3 linked regions of the Coturnix japonica genome follow. The protein of the gene in region 1 purifies or fractionates together with the protein of each later gene. This does not show direct contact. Links are inferred from orthologs where the notes say so. Each region holds a gene or a part of one and is shown in the gene's direction. Other genes may lie near its edges. The genes, in order: PNN, PRPF4B and NCBP3.

Region 1 (4,012 bases):
ACCTCTCGATCAGTCCCTGCCCGACGCGGAATCCCATGCTCTCCAGTTTGGTGGTGCAGCGGCCGTTCTCCTGCAAGACACAAGGGCGGCCGCCGCCTCAGCCTCGGGGCCGGCCGCCGCCTGACGGCCTCTGGGGCGGGCAGCGGCCCCACTCACCCCTTCGCCTTGCTCGGCGGCGCGGTACAGCCCCGCCACCATCTCGTTGTGCAGCAGCAGGAACAGCGCCTCGTCCGCCATGGCCGCTCCCCTACGGGCGGCCCCCGCCCGCCGTCACGGCAACGGCCCGCAGCCAACGGGAGCCGCTGCGCTGCGCTGCACCGCCCCTTCCGGGAGCGGGAGGGCTCGGGGCCGGGACTGGGAGAGGCGGAGTGATTCTGGGGCGGGTATGAGAGCGGGGAGAGCGCTGATGTGCGGTGTGTTTGTTTTACATCGCCTTCAAAGCGGCACTTTATGTTCAACCCCCATTTTCTGCCTCTGTAAGATGGCAACCGGTGTGTGCCCCGGTGGCGCAGTGGTTAAAGACGCCGCCTTGCAACACTGGGGCCCGGGGTTCGAATCCCCCCTGTGGCGCAAGTGATAGAAGTGCCGCTCTGCTACACAGAGGCTCGAATCCCGGGGGTTGGACTCGATGATCTCTAAGGTCCCTTCCAACCCGCACGAGACTGTGAGACTATGAGAAACCGGCGGGGTGCAGCCTGAGCGGCCGCAGCCAAAACGGCACCGTGTGCAGTGAGAACGGCGGGCAGCGGAGGGCGAACACAGCACAGTACAGTACAGTACAGTACAGCGCAGCGCAGCGCCCCGCGTGCTGCCCCGTTACACGGGATCACGTTACGCCGCGCGGGAGCGTACAACGCGGCTGCCCGCTGTAACGCCCCTCCTGATTGGTCCGTCAGGCACAGAGGCTGTGGTAGCTCGAAGGTGATTGGCTCCCACCGCAGCAAAGCGACGAAGTAACTTCTCGTTAGCCACGAGAGACGTCGCTCTGGCCCTCCCGCTTTGTGATTCGCAGAGCTGGCAGGCAGCGGCTCTCGGTGATTGGCTAAGAAAGATGTCAGTCTGTCTCTGAGCTTTGTGATTGGTGGCCGAGTGCAGAGATTCTTCCCACGGGGGCGTACCCTCTCTCTTGCAGCTCGCCTATTGGCTGTCGGCGTTACCCGCCGCGGGGCTATTGGCTGCGCCGTCCGTTCCCTCGCGGAGCCGAGTGTTGGCTGCCGGGCGGGGCCTGTCCCGCCGTTACCCAGCGGTGCCTCGCGCCGTGCCCGGCTAGGCCGCGCGGGATGGCGGTGGCGGTGCGTGCGCTGCAGGAGCAGCTGGAGAAGGCCAAGGAGAGCCTGAAACACGTGGATGAGAATATCCGCAAGCTCACGGGCCGGGACCCCAACGATGTGAGGTGAGGGCCGGCTTACCGGGCTCCACTCGAGGAGGCCGCCCCCGCACCCCCGGCGCCACCCCGGGCCGTCGGGTTGCGGCCCCGCGGGGGGTGGGAGGGCGGCGATGGGCCGGGCGGTGCCGCTGAGCGATGTGCTGTGTTCACAGGCCCCCGCAGAACAGACTGCTGGCCCTCTCAGGCCCTGGTGGAGGTAGGGGGCGAGGGAGCTTACTGCTGAGGTAAGGACATGCGGCTCTGCTGCTTTATCGCGACTCCGGGTTGTTATCTTTGCGCGTTCTGTGTGCCGGCTTTGATCCGTGTGTTCACCGTAAGGGATCGGGAGCTGGAACAACGCAGTCAAGTGGGAGGCCTGCGGGAGCGCCCGGGGGTCCATAGCGGTGCCTGCAGTGCCCGGTTTGATCTTGGTGCCTTTTGGTGCGATTCCAGCTGTTAGCCTTAAAGTTAAGGAGGACCTCCAGAATGAAGGGAGGTGCGCTCTGGTGTCCTGGGCCTCCTTCCTTTGAAGTGGTGCAAAATCACTGTCTTGGTAATTAAGAAACTGGTGGTGTTTCAAAGGAGAGTAGAAAGAATGGAAGTCACCGGGATTCATAAAACTCACATAGGGGGATTTCCTTTGTGAATTTACCTTTTCTGCCCTCTTTTATTTCTCAGCTCCATGGTAGAGCCAGAATCAAGAACAGACTCATGTTCAGTAGTTTCTTCTTACCTGAGTACATGGGACGTTTCTTTAATTCTTTTAAATTTCAATATCAAATTGTTGCTGAGGCCTTAACACTTAAGAAAATGAAACTTCTTGAACCTACTGAGGTAGCTTGAGTGCAGCAGCTCCTCTGAATAACTTTAAATGGGTTGATTCACAAACAGTGCATTTAAATACATTATTACTGCAGTAACGTTGAATGAGTATAGAATTGAGTAAAAAGTGTGCCTTGTTCAGAGATCACGAGTGGTTTCCTTTCAGGCGTGGATTCTCGGATAGCGGAGGAGGACCCCCAGCCAAACAGAGGGATATTGAAGGGGCATCCAGCAGGTGGGTGGAAAGATGGATGTGGAGACCCTGCTTTTACTGTGATTCTTGCACAGTGGAGATACTTAAATGTATAATTCTTTCTTTCTTTCAAGGGCTTATGTTGCCTGTGGAATCATGGGGGAGAGAACCATATGGGGAATTAAATAATTCTGTATATTTATGAAGGGCAGAAAACTCAAAGGTGTTGAAATCTGTAGCAAGTGCTGTAGTGAAGAGCACTTTTCATCCTTTAGGGAGGGAATTTCTTGTTCCTCATCCATTCTGCACGAAGCTCCTCCTTTAACTTTGTGGGCGTATTTGATGCAGGCTGTAGTGTATTCTTCAATTTTCTGAATATAGTTACAGCGTTAGATGCCAAATTCTAAAAGCCTGATTAAAAAACTTATGCTAAGCAAAGCAGAAAACTTATGCAGAATTTAATACAGCAGACTGCAATATTAGCCCAGACTTGTTTAACAGTAGACACAAATCGTGACTGGGATTTCCCTTTCATTAATCTTAATACCTCCTGTGTGACAGTTTGTGCAGAAATTGGAGGCTTTCCCAACTGGATGCAGATCCATCAGATGTGGCTTTGGCCATAGGGAGCTGCATTTTTCTGAGTACTTAACATGCAGTGGTAAATCTTGACAAAAGCAATACTTGCTTTTGAATTTTTGATTTATACAAAATATATATTGTGAAATGCTTTACTGGCAGCAAACTGCTATGCCCCAGAGCAAAAGCTGAGAATAAGTTTAATACATTACTGAGCTGTTATGTGTTAAAAACCTCAGGTTATCCAAGGGCTCAGGTCCCTGCTAATTGCTTTGTCTGTCCTTAACTGATTTTCAGGTATTTGCCTAGGTAACCTCAATAGCTTCTTGAATTTGAGAAAATCTTAATCTCCATATCTTAGAGTTAGGGTACTATGAATAGGCTGAGGCTGGACTTGATGATCTTTGAGGTCTTTTCCAACCTGAGTAATTCTATGATGCCTTGATGCTTCTAAATCAAACTCATATTTCTCTTACCCAAATAAACGTTTTAGATACTCTGGAAAAAGAAAAGCTCAAATGAAACAAAATCCAAAGCTGTGCTAAAAAGTCAAATAGTGCAGTAATGTGGGTTCATCATTTTTACTTTAATACCAAAGTTATATTAAAACTTAAATCACTTTTCTCACCTGCTACATTAAAAAATTTATCTCTTGCCACTCTTCTGATCAACGGTTTATGGGGATTGTTGATTCTGATGACTATATATGCTGACTTGTGTAGATGCTGTTGTTAATGCATGTTCTCCAGTGGCCAGTAATGCTTTTTATTCCTCAGGCTGGGTGGAGAGCGTCGGACCAGAAGAGAATCACGCCAAGAAAGTGACGGAGAGGATGATGATATTAAAAAGGTAACTCACAACAAAGGGAGCTGTGCAGGAAAAAAGAAAACGTTTACATGAACTGAGTTGTTTGTATTTCTCCGTTGTAGCCAGCATTACCATCTTCTGTTGTTGCTACCTCCAAAGAGCGAACACGTCGAGACCTTATACAAGATCAAAATATGGATGAGAAAGGAAAACAAAGGTATGCAGCTGTCTCTTCATGCATTTAT
Region 2 (4,341 bases), on another chromosome or scaffold:
GTTGGATATTAGGAAACATCTAAATAGGTACTGAAACAGGCTGCCCAGGGATGTGGCAGAGTCACTATCCCTAGAGGCGCTTAATAAACCATAGATGTATCGCTAAGGAATACAGGTCAGCAGGCACAATAGATGGACAAGTTAATCTTAGTAATGATTCTATGGTCTCTATTAGCCATAACAGTCACTGCAGATCATCTGTAACACCAACCATGTAAGCAGAAAAACATTCAGTTACCCCTGCAAGCAGATTTTTCAAGAGATTAATCAGCAAGTTCAAGGCAAGCACTAAACTCATGGTTTTACACGGGCAAATCTGCTCACGGAAAAGCAAAATCTCACCTGCTCATTCTCAAGCGGTGATGAATCCTTCTTGCACCAAAGGAGGTGAAGTTTCCCCTGGAGGAATTCTTGTGCCATTTCCAGGCATTTGATGACAGAAAACACCTCCATGGAGGAAGCCCTGCTAAGTTACTTGCATCTGCTTGGGTAAGTTTTACAGACTTTCCATTAGGACCCAGTTCAATCCACATCACAGCACCTTCCCAGGATTTAGGCTCTTTCAGAACCCAGCTTTAAGGTGCAGACATCCTTCATGGGATGAGTTAACCATCTACCATTACATCTAGCTTCCTTCTGATTTTTGCAACTTTCAGCCTTCAGTTTAGCTTTAGGAGACAAACCATAGTCTGAGATCTAACGCTGGAAACATGACACAGGCTTAAAGGTGTAATAGCCTGGGTTGCTTCTTCACCTTTGTTCTTTTGTTCAAGCCCACGGAGTTTGAAAGAGAAGCAGATGCTGCAGGCTGGGGCTCCTCAAGCTGAAACCACTCTGTTTCTTCTCTGAACATGAATTCATGGCTTCACAAGAGCGAGGGCCAGGTGAATTAGTGCTCTGACTCCCCAGGCTCATATCACAGCATCCGACATCAACAGTGGCAACAAGACATACATCTTCTTTATTTTCTTGGTTAACTTCATCTCTTATGCTATACGACATGCTTTCATCTCGGTCCACGCTAGGACTGACTGATGTCTGACACAGAATCATAGAGCCATTTGAATTGGAAGGGATCCTTGCAGGCCATCTAGTCCAACACCCTGCAATGAACAGAGACACCTGCAGTACATCAGGTTGCTCAAAGCCCCGTCCAGCCTGACTTTGAGTATAGCACCAGGTGTGCTATGATCTTGCTTCTGATGTTGGAGCAAGCAACGCTTGTACCGGGCCAGCAACGTGGGTCGGGAGCCCTCAGACACAGCGGGGTAGCAGCGCCTTCGCAGACGGCGTTCGCAATTAAATTCATTCATCTTCAGGCGGTGCCGGTGTGCAAACCAGCATTAGAATATTTAGAGTCCCCTCCAAGCCGTCTTAACCACAGCCAACGGAGCAGCACCAGCGCAGCCCCTCTCCCTATTCGTTCCCTACGGCCGCCCGCGCTCCCCGGGCCAGAGGGCGGTGCCGTCGGTTCTCATCCCGCCCCGCGCTCTGGGTTCGCTTCCGGCTGCCGCCCCCCCGCCATCCCCCAACCCCTCCCGGCCGCTCGGCTGCGCCTGCGCCGCGGCCCCGCGTCTCCCCAGCGGCAGCGAAGGAGTTTGGAAGTTCAAAATGGCCGCCGCGGCGGAGCCTGAACAGCGAGCGACTGAGTAAGGGACGGGCGGGAGGGCAGGCGGGGCGGCAGCTCGAAGCGGCAACTCGGGGTGGGGGGAGGCGGAGAGCGGCCCCAGCGCCGAGAAGGGGCGGCGGGTAGCGGGGTGGCTGGGCCGGAGGCGGCGTGGGGAAGGAGGGAAGGAGGGAAGGAAAGGGCGGCGGGCAGCCGCTCCGCGGACAGGGCTGCGAACGCGGTTGCAGGAGCCGTTCGCGGCCCGGTGTGCTGCGGGGAGCGGGGTGAGGCCGCTCGGCCGATGGACGGCGGGGCGGGGGAGGGGAAGCAGCGCCGGGAGCGGCGCGTGTTCCGGTGGCGTGTGCCTCCCGCCCCGCTGGGCCCGGCCGGGCCGCTCCGCTGCTGAGGCTGCCGAGCCCAGCGCCACGAGCCGCGGGTTCTCGCGGTACGAAGAGTGAAGGCGTCGCTGGGAGCAAGAAGCGATTTGTCGCTGCCGGCCCCTCCTTCCGGGGGGCTGCGCGCTGCATTCGGGCTCCGACTTGTCCTGCTAGGCAGGGGGGTTGGAACTACATGATCCTTGAGGTCCCTTCCAACCCGGGGCATTCTGTGATTCTGTGACTTCGGGCTCCTCGGCATCGCTCGGGATCCGTAAATAAAGAGAATAAAGTAACGATTTGCATAGAAAGCCCGAAGGTAGGGAGTGAATAGGTAAAATCTCTGCAAATCTTCCTAAACTTATGTAGATCCTTGCCTTAAATCTCAAAACATTAAGGAAAGTTAGGGCTCTCACACAGATGTCATAACTCCTGCTACAGAAGCGTGTGGGTACCTCGTGGCCTCATCACCTTCTGAAATTCGCTTACAAGATTTCTCTTCCATGTAATCACGGCTACGGAGCAGTTAAACGAATTAAAAGTTTGTCTGTGTTTGGATAGAGTTACGTGAAATAAATCAGTGCCTGAGCATGGAGTAGCTCTGAACTATTTCATCTGGCGGGTGGCAGCCCTGCCCGCAGCAGGGGGTTGGGGCCGGGTGGGCTTTAAGGTCCCTTCCAGCATAAGCCATTCTGTGATTTAATGCTGTCAGAAGGAGGATTCTCAAGAGCTCACATAGGAGATAATTATTAACTGTACTGCTTGAGGATCCTTAATGAGGAGGACGCTAATTGAATTCGTAGTGTGGTTTCATCCTTTATTTGGTAAAGAATAATTCTGATACGACTATGACAATGGATCATTGGTCGTATCCTTCAGAGACCTCTGCAGGATGAAGCTAGCGGTGTTGTGAGGGTATCTCTACATTTCTGTGTGCATCTCACCACCGCTGTGACCATCACACCCCGTGAACTTCCCCTCAGTGAACAAGGCTGGGGATGAAGCGGTATTTAAGATACCAGAGCGAGTTCCAAAACTAGTGCAGGTGGGCTGAGTTTGCAGAAAGGCATTACTGGCATCTAGGAGGTGATTTGGCTGCAGATTTTAAAAGGCAGATATTCATCTCGCTGTAGCTGGTAATTGATTTCATTTTCTCTTTGTTTTTGTCCAATGCCATTTTACAGATCTAAAGAGAACAATTGTTTTTTCCCTCAGGAAGCTCACAGGCTTCTGGATTCTATTGGAAAGCTTTTCCGAAATTAGTTGTTCTTAATTTATACTGTTTCTGCATATATAAATGCAGGATAATGTTGTCTTAACAAGTGTACACACAGATAGGAATGATAATTAAGAGAGTCAGCCTGCTGTGCGTGAGACTGCGTGGGATGGTTTACTTAGGGGGTCAGAATCATCCCTTGAAATAAGTTTTGATCTCTGGGGGACAACTGCTCTCTATCTTTTGAAAGTACTTGTAGAGGACATGGCTTGGGTTTGGCATAGGAATTGAGCAGTAAATAAGACAGATAGCGGACTAACGGGAGGTATAAGTGCGCAATACTGTTGTATGCTATTACCAAATACTGGCAGTGCTGAACCATAACCTGAAGCATTGGTTTCACCTGCGTGATTTGTTTTGTTGATGTATTTGCTCCATCTTCATAAGCTAGTAGTTCTTTTTTGCAGTCATAGCTGTCTGTCTGTGCCAAACTACACCCACTCTTACAACTTCATTACGTTGCTTGTGCATTTCTAATTCTCCAAAAGCAGATAATTAAATACCAGTTAGCTTCTATCACAAAAGAGGCCATCAAACTAACCTGAATTTAAGGGCTGCTGTGAATTGCTGATACTGATGGGTAGTTTTTATCTCTTTTGCAGGGCTGAGGATGCTAACGCATCTGAGAAGAGTACAAATGAAGAGAATGGGGAAGTGTCAGAAGCAGATCAACCTCAGAACAAGCACAGCCGGCACAAAAAAAAGAAACACAAACACCGAAGTAAACACAAGAAACATAAACATTCTTCAGAGGAAGATAAGGACAAAAAACATAAACACAGACACAAACATAAGAAACATAAACGGAAAGAGGTAGCCGATACCTCCGACAAGGAAGATGGACCAGCAAAAAGAACTAAAATTGATTTTTTAGCTCCTCTGGAAGATTTGGAGAAACAAAGGGCTTTATTGAAAGCTGAACTTGAAAATGAGTTAATGGAAGGCAAAGTCCAGTCCGGTATGGGATTAATATTACAAGGTTATGAGTCGGGATCTGAAGAAGAGGGGGAAATTAATGAAAAGGCGCGAAATGGAACCAGACCCGCGGCTAAGTCAAACACTAAGGGGAAATTAGAACCTGTGGA
Region 3 (3,543 bases), on another chromosome or scaffold:
TGTTTGATTTTGGCTAATTTGTCTCCTGAAGTTCTTTTTGGGATCAGATTGATTCATTGTGCTTTAGTTTTTCCCTTGAACTTGGGTGTAGTTGTCAAGTTTTAATAGCTGTGGTTCTCTATTAGAAGTTGTCAAGTTCAGTCAGAGGAGATTTAAGAGAAGGAACTGTGAAATATAGAGGTGGGTTTTTTAGTCATGTGTCTTTTTGGGAGGCTCAAAAACAATTTCCGTAATAATTTTCTTCTGTGAGCCAAAAGAAAACCAAACAAAAGAAAACCTGAAAAACCTATTTAGACAACACATAGTATATGTAGTTTGGGAAGTGTGTGCTCCTCTGTTAGCTATTTCACTTCAGAACTGAGTCACTGCCCTCCCTACTTTGAGTAGTAACCTGCTTCACATTGTGAGTACTGGATACCTGTAGGTACTTGCAGCATTTAGAAGGGAGGTGGAAGGAAACAGGCTTTGATCCACGTTTTGCAGTCTTGTCTTTGCTGATCTCTGTCATACTTTGAAATTGCAGTGCAGTTTCATTTGCTTTCAGATAAGTAAATTGATAATCCGTGCACGCTGCCTCCGGCACTTACCTGTATGGGGGCTGTCTGGTTAATGTTATTCTGTGCTCATGTGTGCTTCAGATTTCTGTAGACATTCACTGTTTTGATTACTCTCTAGGCTGCACAGAGGAATTGATAAACCCCTTCAGTTTGATTTCAGAGACTTTAGATACTAATATTCAAATGAACTGGAACATTAAAATGTAGATTTCTTTTCCCAATTATTTTCTTCTTTAGAAAAACAGGAGGAAAGTACTGATGATGAGACAGAAGAAGGCGAGGTTGAGGATGAAAATCCAAGTGACATTGAGGTCAGTATAGAAAGAAAATGAAAACCCCATTATGGACATTTTGCTCTCACTGATGTATTCGTGACATTATAGTTTTTACCATACATGCTCATAATTTACAGTTTAATTATTGAAGGAAATAAGGTGGAGAAAAAGGCAGGAAGTGCAGATGTTCTGCTGGTGAGAATAGCCTCATAAAAATGCTTTGTGAAAGTAATTTTTGAAGACTAATAGGGCAGTCAGCATGTAAGAGCTAGGCTGCCTGCTCTATCTAGACTGCCTGCCTGCCTGTTAAAGGAGATAATGAAAAAACAATAGTGGAAGGCAGTTTCCTTTCAGTATAGAAAACAGTGTATAAAGTAGGGAAAAAAAGGGGACTTAGGCTGCCCATAGATTTGTGTGGGCGTCAGCAAACACACTGATGTTTTGTAAGTAGTTTAATCTTCACTGGTTGAATTTATATAATGGGTGCCATTAGTATTTTCTTTAGGGATGGCTCAGCAAACATTCACCCAGATTATGGAAATCTGAATTTTGGCTTATGGAAAGCAGTTATAAATAAATAGTAATAATAACAATAATGCCTGTAAGTCACTGTGTGAAGGCAGAGACCCCATTGGTGAAACCATTTGTAGATGAAACAAACAAAAGCAATCAAGTCTTTCTTTTTCAGTGTCCGAGTTTATTTATTTTCTTCATTGCAGTCATACTGCAGCTTCATTTGAGAACTGATTTAATAATCAGAACAAGTGTTAGGGAGGAAGAGACAAAAATATTTTAAACCTTTTGGCAAGAAAAAGTTTAAAATACGTGATAACTTGTCAAGAAAGAAGTGGAGTTAGTCTGAACAGAACATGGAAAGTAATTTAATAACCAAGGGATTGCTTCTCTGCGAGCAATCCATTTTCATTCAAAAGTAATTTTATTTTTGAGTCCAAAATACCTTTTTTGCCCCCAAAGTTGGATGCCCTCACCCAGGTAGAAGAGGATTCTCTCCTGCGTAATGATCTTCGCCCTGCCAATAAACTGGCTAAAGGAAACAAGCTATTCATGAGATTTGCTACTAAAGGTAAATGAACAGCTTAACAAGCATAATGAATTGATTGCTTGTTGCAGTTTTATTTGTTGACTGATTAATTACTTGAAGCACCTAATTTTTATTTGCATAACTGTTAGGTTTTTTGCTAATTATTAGGTATTAAGATTTTGCTATGAATACACATTCAGTTTGAATTAAATCCAGTTCGTGCTCTATGGAGATTATTGTACATAAAATATTATCTTGGGTTTAGGGCATTCTTCCTTCCCAATACCATAGAATAGGTTTTATGGTGTACTTCTCCACAGAGGTGAATTTCATGTTATAAACTTGAAAATCAGTTGTGATGTTTATGAGGTACTGATGGAAATTGTCACTTAATGCAGCTGAGTTATTAAATTGTATTTTTGAATAAAATGAAAATGCACGTAATTACTGAGCCATGTGGAAGGTGGCAGATCCATAAAGAAAAGAAAGGTCAGGAATAAGGTGAGTGTGGCCTCCAGCAGTTGCACTGGGGTGTAATGCTCCCTTAAGCTGACATGCAGAAACTCAGAGTCTCCATGGAATTGGGCACAAATAAAACTGTGGTGGTAGGAGAAATTTCAGTTGAGGTGTCATCAAAATTGTATCATTTGGGAAGGAAATTGAAATACCACGGACCTGTAAGGAGATAACTCAGTCTTCCTTTCTCTCTCTGTGTCTGACTGGATGCTAGTGAGGTAAATTCAAAGAGGAAAAGAAATATTCTTTTAACATATATTTTTTTCAGATGACAAAAAAGAACTGGGAGCTGCAAGGAGAAGCCAGTATTACATGAAATATGGCAATCCCAATTATGGAGGCATGAAGGGGATTCTTAGTAACTCTTGGTGAGTGTGGGATGGAGGAATTGGGAGGCTGCAGATACTCAGACAAGGTGGTTCAAAGCTGTTGTGACTTGATCTTTTTTTCCTTTTAGTTTCTGTAGATATATCTGAAGTGTGAATAATGTTTCTGCAAAGCGATGATGTATTTGCTAGGGGAATATTTTGTTGTGATGGTAGAAAGTTTTCAGTACACACATGCAGAACAGTTCTCAGGCATAAATGTCTGTTATGAAGTGAGTGAGAATTGCACATGCTTAATCCAGGATTGGTTACAGCTCGTTTCTTTTTGATAGGAATGTCATTCTTCTTATGGTGTTTCAGGAAACGGAGATACCATTCACGTCGAATCCATCGGGATGTGATAAAGAAAAGGACGCTTATTGGGGATGATGTTGGCCTGACTCCTCCTTACAAACATCGGCACTCTGGTAATTGCTGACAGTGTGTCAAAGCTGTGCAAGTGTAACTGGGGGAGTGGAGGGCTGGATGCATTATTTTTGGCATTACTACTTACAGGAGTTGAGAAGATTCTCATAAGCCAACAGGTGTCACATTAAGCTGTGCAAGATGATAGGAATTGTTACGTTTAGTTCAGTATGAACTGCCCCTGCAGCAAGAGGCAGTCATACCTTATACCTTGAGTCCAGCTACATGCTTGAGCAGTATTCTGAGGTAGTGGAACACTACGGGCTTTCTTCTCCTGTAGTGATTTTCTCCCTCTTAGATTACTCTGTAGGACAGATTCCACTTAGAATTTTGGCAAAGTATTCTCTTTTTAGCCTTGAACA

What was found.
Region 2: the proteins of PNN (region 1) and PRPF4B purify together in Homo sapiens (affinity purification with mass spectrometry; 5 studies listed by BioGRID and IntAct, counting the BioPlex papers as one, with this or other methods). This does not show direct contact. The link is inferred for Coturnix japonica from reciprocal best matches to the Homo sapiens genes PNN and PRP4K.
Region 3: the proteins of PNN (region 1) and NCBP3 purify together in Homo sapiens (co-immunoprecipitation; 3 studies listed by BioGRID and IntAct, counting the BioPlex papers as one, with this or other methods). This does not show direct contact. The link is inferred for Coturnix japonica from reciprocal best matches to the Homo sapiens genes PNN and NCBP3.

Annotation. Positions count from the first base shown.
Region 1 is NC_029520.1:34,113,797-34,117,808, forward strand, and holds the start of PNN (pinin), read left to right. Parts: upstream 1-1,179; 5' UTR 1,180-1,280; coding exon 1,281-1,393; intron 1,394-1,539; coding exon 1,540-1,611; intron 1,612-2,354; coding exon 2,355-2,423; intron 2,424-3,525; exon of another isoform or gene 3,526-3,736; coding exon 3,737-3,809; exon of another isoform or gene 3,810-3,829; intron 3,830-3,889; coding exon 3,890-3,984; intron 3,985-4,012. Other genes in the region: TRAPPC6B (trafficking protein particle complex subunit 6B), read right to left, coding at 3-70, 157-237. UniProt on the Homo sapiens protein: Transcriptional activator binding to the E-box 1 core sequence of the E-cadherin promoter gene; the core-binding sequence is 5'CAGGTG-3'. Capable of reversing CTBP1-mediated transcription repression.
Region 2 is NC_029517.1:63,504,308-63,508,648, forward strand, and holds the start of PRPF4B (serine/threonine-protein kinase PRP4 homolog), read left to right. Parts: upstream 1-1,516; 5' UTR 1,517-1,611; coding exon 1,612-1,649; intron 1,650-3,858; coding exon 3,859-4,341. UniProt on the Homo sapiens protein: Serine/threonine kinase involved in spliceosomal assembly as well as mitosis and signaling regulation. Connects chromatin mediated regulation of transcription and pre-mRNA splicing.
Region 3 is NC_029534.1:3,961,734-3,965,276, reverse strand, and holds part of NCBP3 (nuclear cap-binding protein subunit 3), read left to right. Parts: intron 1-794; coding exon 795-868; intron 869-1,807; coding exon 1,808-1,916; intron 1,917-2,658; coding exon 2,659-2,758; intron 2,759-3,076; coding exon 3,077-3,183; intron 3,184-3,543. UniProt on the Homo sapiens protein: Associates with NCBP1/CBP80 to form an alternative cap-binding complex (CBC) which plays a key role in mRNA export. NCBP3 serves as adapter protein linking the capped RNAs (m7GpppG-capped RNA) to NCBP1/CBP80.